Neurospora crassa OR74A: one gene and its partner. The protein of the gene in region 1 interacts with the protein of each later gene in a biochemical or structural test. Links are inferred from orthologs where the notes say so. Each region holds a gene or a part of one and is shown on either strand. Other genes may lie near its edges.

What was found.
Region 2: of the proteins of stk-4 (region 1) and NCU08297, one has a biochemical effect on the other in vitro, tested with the Saccharomyces cerevisiae proteins (2 studies listed by BioGRID). The link is inferred for Neurospora crassa OR74A from reciprocal best matches to the Saccharomyces cerevisiae genes STE20 and CDC3.

Annotation. Positions count from the first base shown.
Region 1 is NC_026506.1:2,078,736-2,083,218, reverse strand, and holds the start of stk-4 (serine/threonine-protein kinase ste-20, variant 1), read left to right. Parts: upstream 1-1,608; 5' UTR 1,609-1,632; intron 1,633-1,739; exon of another isoform or gene 1,740-1,816; 5' UTR 1,817-2,399; coding exon 2,400-3,467; intron 3,468-3,527; coding exon 3,528-4,483. Other genes in the region: NCU03895 (hypothetical protein), read right to left, coding at 364-635, 1,005-1,044, 1,395-1,481. UniProt on the Saccharomyces cerevisiae protein: MAP4K component of the MAPK pathway required for the mating pheromone response, haploid invasive growth and diploid pseudohyphal development. Links the pheromone response G-protein beta gamma subunits to downstream signaling components.
Region 2 is NC_026504.1:2,500,517-2,503,062, reverse strand, and holds the end of NCU08297 (cell division control protein 3), read right to left. Parts: coding exon 1,953-2,546; 3' UTR 761-1,952; downstream 1-760. Other genes in the region: NCU08296 (mito ribosomal protein S4), read left to right, coding at 1-242. UniProt on the Saccharomyces cerevisiae protein: Septins are GTPases involved in cytokinesis that assemble early in the cell cycle as a patch at the incipient bud site and form a ring approximate 15 minutes before bud emergence, which transforms into an hour-glass shaped collar of cortical filaments that spans both sides of the mother-bud neck.

The DNA of each region.
Region 1 (4,483 bases):
ATTTCGCGCGCGGAAGGCCTGCTGCGGCCCCACAGGCCGGCCGGCCTTTGGTTTTCACAACGCTCATCGCTTCAAGCCGGTGCGCCCCAGTCGTCCCAGACATGACGCACTGGCCGGGCCACAGAGGCAAGAAAAACGAGTGGACGCCAAACGCCAGGGAATGGGACGCGGAAATCCAAGGACCAAGACGGGCGTTTCGACTCCGCCCGTTTGGCCATATCTACCCCACAAGCCCGGGGCATTTAATCACGGTTGCCGAGAAGCTGCCCCGTATCTGATACGTACCGAGGGGCTAAATCTTGGCTGATGAGCGTGATGGCGATGTGTCGATACGAAATGGTTTCCCGTTTTCAAAAAGTTCAATTATGCGAATACATAGCACGGTCCTATCGCGCCGAGCTTGAACACGCGAGGAGCATGAGCACCTCCCACCTCACTGTGCGCAGGAGGAGGGGTTGTCCCGGCCGTGATTGACGCGGGCAAGCAGAGATTGCGGCTGTGTTGTATGTAGATAGAGGTACTGTACTGACTGTCGAACAGAGACCACAGAACACCGCAGAGGTTGCACGCAGACTCGTTCTCCAAGATGCCAGGCCAGATCAGGATCGGAACCTGGAATGCCCTCGAGTTGACGTCTACATTGGAATCGAATCAAGCTGACGGCGTCAAGCAAGGTCCAGAGCGGGTGTTGGAAGCAACCTCGACGACATGATGCCAAAGTCAAGAGGAAACGAGGGGAAAAGGTTGAAGAGGTGGTGGCGCCCTGGTCCCTGTCAGTCTCCCGTGCAGAGTGTCCCCGCCATCGCCGTTCCGTTGCCGCCGGCGGTTGAACAAAAAAGTGGGCAGGTGAACTGATGGAACTTGAAGCCTCTCACAGGCGCCTTTTCGTGGTGTTGTAGTGGTAGCAGTGGCAGCAGTGGTCGAAAGTGGCTCTCTTCAACTGCAATGGCACTGCACCAGGCAGTCTAGGTAGTCCCACTCTCCCGTCCCCCACCCGTCCCCACCTGCCCTGTCTGGCAGAGGGGACGGGACTGAGATGTAGAACTAGAGGTAGGTAGTGTAGTGTAGTGTAGACTTCAGTTGCTTCCCAGAAGGCCGGACACACTCCCGCTGTCTGTCTAGAAGCCGAAAAGTGCATGTGCTGCCCTCTTGTTGTGCGGTGCAGTGTGCAGATGCAGCAAGCAACAGCCGCCCGACAGCAGTCACGAAGCATTCGAAGGGAATAGGTAGACCTAAGACCGACACAACCTCAATCATAGTATGCTTCCCTGAACTTTGCGTCCGGGCTTCCTTGTCTCCAATTCTCATTTGGCATCTGCAGGCCGAGTGTCCCCGCCCCGCCCGCCGTCCGACCGTCAGCAACACCGGACGACAGCCAGACAACTTCAGACGACAGCAGCAGTAGCAGCCCAGCAGTAGCAGCCCAGCAGTAGCAGGAGCAGCAGCAGCATCGCCGCGCATAGCCGACACCCGTCCGCCATCTTGGGTTCACTCATTTGAGCCCGGCCAACAATAAGTCGATAACGAGTTTGACGAGATTCGTAAAATTCGACAACCCACAAACTGTCAACGGCCACACATCGACACCGACTCGTACAAAGTTGGACCACCATTGGACACACCCTGCCCAAAGCAAGCAATCCCCCGCGCCGCCCAACCAGTCACCCACTTTATCCAAGTCATCCAATCCCTCTCCAGTCTGCGCACTTGTAGCACCAGCACCATACTGCTTGGACTATGCCCGACCTTGCCCTGCTCAATCATCAATTGGGTGCCGTCCACAAGCTAACGTCTGCTCACCACTCTCAAAAGGTAGCCGGACCCTGACCTTCTGATAAGCATACTAAAAAGCTTCGAGATCCATCAAAAATAAATCGTCATTCAAATAGTCTAGAGAAAACAAGCGGAAAAGTGAAAAGCGCCAGCCTAGTCCGAGTTCCCACACAGCAGTAACAACAGAAAGCATCACCCCTTCTTCAACGTACCCAGTCCCCGCCAAACCCAGCATCGCCGGCGGTCCGGGGTCTGTCTTTTTTTCCTACCTTGTACCTTCAACTTGTACACAATCCCACCACAAACCAAAGCGCAATTTTCGACCGGCATCAAGCTTCCAGGATCCCGTCCCCCTTCAATTGTCGACTTTTTTGCTCTTGTCCGTTCTGTGTCTGTGATTCTGGCCTGCCAACTTATCCCGCCCGCCTCAATAACTGCTGCCACCCCCCCAATTCCCGTCTCTTCTCCCAAGTCTCGCCTTCTTTTGGTTGACCCGGCCCCCAGCCAAACCGTCCGCCAGTACCGTACGTTGAACATCTTCCTTGTCTTTTCTTATTCTTAGTTACCCCATCTCGTAGCCCTCGTGCCCTTCCCTACGCTAGGGTTGGGTTTCTCTCGCAGTGACCATGGACGGCCAGCTCTCCCTCCTCTCGCCCACCTCGTCCTCCTCCACTTCGCATAGTCGCAAAAGACTCACAAAGAAGCAACGCCCGCCATCCGCAAATCACCGCACTAGCTCCTCTTTCAATGTCGAATCGCTCCGTATTGACGCCCAATCTCTAGACAGCAAACGGAGCGCCTCCAGCCTGCGCCAGGGCCCCAACTGCAACCAAAGCCCATCTCTGGCCAGGACCGTATCCGTCCCAGTCTCCGTCCCTTCAAACGCGCCCGCCCACACCAAAGCCAGCGACCTCTCTCTGCCACGCTCCCACACCACTCGCTCTCAATCCGCAAATCGCCCTTACAATCCGACGCAGACAATACCAACCAACCGCTTTATCCTCTCGCCGGCCTCATCGTCGCAACCCCAAACTCAATCGCCGCCTTATCCCAGCGCTGTTGCCAGCACCACCGTTACTAGCTCCAGGAACAAGGACACATCCAAGCAGTACGACCCACTAGACTCCTGCATTGGATCCTTCGATCAAAACAAATTATCCACGGATGAACTGATTGGCGCTCCATTCGACGGCAACGCCATTCTCAGTCGAATCGAGGCAACAAAATTATCAGCCGCGCCCGCGCCCACGTCCACGACCACGATTGCGCACTCCAACAACATTTCTCCTCGTCGTGTCGCTCCTCCTCCTCCTCCTCCCCCGCCTGCTCTATCGCGCTCAAACACGGACTCCAAGGCTGCGAGATCTTCAAAACCGTCAAAGTCGCCCAAATCCACCATATCAAACAAGACCATGGGCGCATCTTCATTCCGCCACTCGGCGAGTTTCTCGTCGGCTGAACAACTTCCGCCAAGCGAAAAGCCGTCCAAGTCAGAGAGCAGCTCTTCGAGTAACAAGAGACACTCCGGTGATGGTAAAGAGTCCAGGGTGCCCGGTATGCTAAGGAAGAAGTCGGGCTTCTCCGGCTTCATGAACAGCTTAGTTGGGTCTCCGAAAAAGCCATTGATTTCGGCGCCAGAGAACCCCGTTCACGTCACACACGTCGGATATGATAGCAATACTGGCCAGTTCACGGTATGTTGCCATGCCATGTCAACTAGTCTGAATGTTATGGATGGACTAATACGTTGATAGGGTTTGCCAAAAGAGTGGCAGCGTTTGATAAGCGAGAGTGGAATCACTGAGAAGGACAGAAGAGAACACCCACAAATACTGGTCGATGTCCTCACATTTTACAAGGAGACAACCGAGAAGCCACAGGAAGATCAACAGCTAGAGAAGTTCCACGATGCACGAGCGACAGATTTTCGCAGCCCGCCCGTGACCGGCACCGCTCCGCTCGTACTGCAAACAGGCGTTGGCTACGCTCATGGTCCCATGTCGCCAATGATTAGTCCACCCGCTAGTCCTAGGTTTCCTCAAGTTGGTCATGAGGGCAGCTTTGAGAACCCCCGTGCGCCGCCGCCGGTTCCCAAGGGCCCTGGCCCTCTTCCAGCAAAGGATATCAACTTGATCCCCAGCAGACCGGCACCGAAGCCACCAGCAATATCCACACGACCGCTGGTGCCGCCAGCCTCATTGCCAGCCAAGGATTCAGGAATTGGCATGCCACCGCCCGGTGATGAGGCTCCGATGCCGTACCTCCCTCCCAAGGATAATGTCCAGCATATGTACCAGGAGGAGCACAGGAACAGGTCCAGATCGAATTCCCGGACAAACGGCGCTGCCCCGTTCTCTCCCGTGCAGGCGTCCCCACTGCATCCGATCGCCACGGCGAACCAGACTGCGGCTTATCAGCAGCAATTGTTGCAACACCAGCAAGAACAGGCCATGGCCCAAGCCCAGGCAGCAATGAGCGGTCAACTGAGCCGAGCTGCAAGCAAGAGACAACAACCAACTCCGCCCACCTCACAACACCAACACCCCCGGCAGCCAGACATCAATGGGGCTCCTCGTATGCCACAGACTCAGGGGGCGGCTCCCCAAGCTAGCGCGAGACCCCGTCACAGACCGCGGCAAAGTAACGCGATTGATGTCGTGGCTTCCCTAAAGAGGATATGCTCCGACGGGGATCCGAGAGAGATTTATCG
Region 2 (2,546 bases), on another chromosome or scaffold:
ACAACGACGAGCACGAGGACAACGAGATCGACCCGAGCAAGCCGTACATGACCCCCTGGAGGCCGCGCAACTACATGTCCGCTTTCGCGTTCATCCCCCGCTACCTTGAGGTCAACCAGAACATCTGCGCGGCCGTCTACCTCCGCCACCCCGTGGCGCGCCCGGGCGAGTCCGAAGTACCGTCGCCTTTCTCCCCCACTATCAACCAACTCGCGTTCAACTGGTACTTACGGAGAGGTTAAAGGAGGTCTAGTTAGGAGCGAGGGAATGAAAAGGGGAGATGGAGGGAGGAACGGCAGTCACTCTCTGCCGTCTCAGAGCGGTAGAATTCGCCAATGGACGATTAGAGTCGCGCGCACCCAGTTTTTTGCATGTCGCGGGTACGCTCTATTGTGCTTGTTGCATCTTCAAGGCAACCTCGGATGATGTGATACTCTGCACCTGCTGCGGCTTCAGTTGGACCATGCGTTGGAAATCGGGTTCGGTCTCGATGAGAAAGCTGCGAAGTGGGCGGCAAATCTCGCGATTCCCGGAGAAAAAGGAGACGGGGATGGATCATGCATGAGATGAGTTGACTTCATACGTATTTTGGGCACATTGCGCGTAACAGTTTGTTCGTTCCTCAATACCCGAACAATCTGTTGCAGACTCATTCAGTTCGCCCCCTTCGGCATCGATGTACGCTACATGTATCATTACCACTATTAACTAAATGGATATAAAGAGGGGCATAGACAAATTTCCTTCTTCTTTGCGTAAGAAAGTCATGAGACAGATGAGAACCACCGAGACACCTACGGTCTCCTCTCTGAAAGCTCAGTGCTTATATAGTAAAATTGCCAATCATAGCATTGTCGATCGAGAGGAGCAGTGCAAAGGTAAACACTTATCACTGAGGAAGACGGCAAAATTCGCCTTGAGAGCGCGAGAGAGAAAAAGGCTAAGAAATAACTATCTAGGAGAGGCTAAGTGTACGTTGAGTGTGTGTATGTTTTATGTGGTAAGCAAGAACCCTCCGTGGCTGGAGAGCGAAGCACCAGTTGAGAGAATCGGCCGGAAATGTTGGGTTGGGTATGACCGACCGTAAACCGTGAAAAGAAAAACCTCCTACAAGAATTCCCCGTGAAATAAAAACATCTGATCGCCGATGAAAGCAGTTAATAAAATACATGTGTTGTTGGGATATCTGGTCGTTCGTTGCTTTTCGTCCAAGTGAGATTTCCCGCCTGTTCCCTTACGCCCCCTTTGCAACTTGCATATGGTGCAACGTCGCGAGCACAATTCAAACCCGACTCCTTCTGATCCCTCTATGAGCTTCTCGGTTGTGAATTGCTCCTCGCTCCCGCCAGCCACAGCATCCTAACCGACTTGTCAGTCATGGTGGCAGCCGGAAACATGATGTTGCCGACAGTCGGTCAAGAAGACAAGGGCAAGCAGAGCCGCGAAAGGGAGTTGAGGGCCTGATTGCTGCTGCGCCGCAAACATCTGATGGGGAACAGCCAACGAATTATCTCTCTTTCTTCTCCCTCATATTTTCGGAACTCAACTCCCTAAAGCAGATAAGAGGATATATCTGTTGGAACCATGCTGCCATTGTGAAGTAAGAGATTCTCGAAAAAGCTCCTCCGGCCCAATTACATCTGCATTAGCTTTTCAAGAACAAAGTCGACCGGACCGCACCCCGTCCCAACGACGGAACACACCGGCTTTTGGAAATTTGACCGTTTACGGCAGCCAACAAATTTCTAACAGAAACCCATCCGGTTATGAAGGGATCTGCAAAGAGACTGTTGGCTTGCGAGGGGATCCTCCCGCAGGATTAGGAGGTTATGATTAGAAGATGAACAAATGGAAAACAGAGAATGAAGGAATGAAGCGGCAGGCCGAGGTGTATGCGGGATAACATGACAGTACAACAGTCGTGAGAGGCGGGTGAAGTTGTTGCCGCAAAATTATCGGAGAGAAAATCCCTTCCTCTTTGTCGGCTCCTTCTCAATTGGCCGCCCACTTTCGATTCGGGACTTCTTCTCCTCGAGCTCCAGTCGTTGGCGCTCCAGCTGCTCCTTCATCTCCCTATGACGAGCATACAGCTCCTCTTCGCTCTGCTTCAGCTTGGATTCCTTTTCAGCAACCTTTTGCTGGAAGACCATCTTCATTTCGGCTTCCATCTTCGCAAGCTTCTGTTCGTGGAGGGCGCGCTCTTCCTCCTGCTTGACGGCTGGGTTCACCTCCTTGAAGACGCTTGGATCTTGAGAGACGCCCATAGCGATCAACTTGTCCGTGCGGTAGTTCTCGTAAAGGACGTTGTTGGTGTGCTCCTTGAGCTCCTCCATGTGAGTACGGATGAGCATCTGGCGGAGCTTCACAAAGTCGCAATGCTCCTCATTGTCCACCTCGATCACACCCCAAGGGTAACGGCGACCGCGAACCTTACGGCCATCGGCGTTTGTGATCTCGTTGGTCGCACCGACAACAGCGAAGGGGACCTTGGACATGATCTCGTTGTTCTCCGCGATGGTCTCCTCATCGTCGAGTTCGTAGCGAGG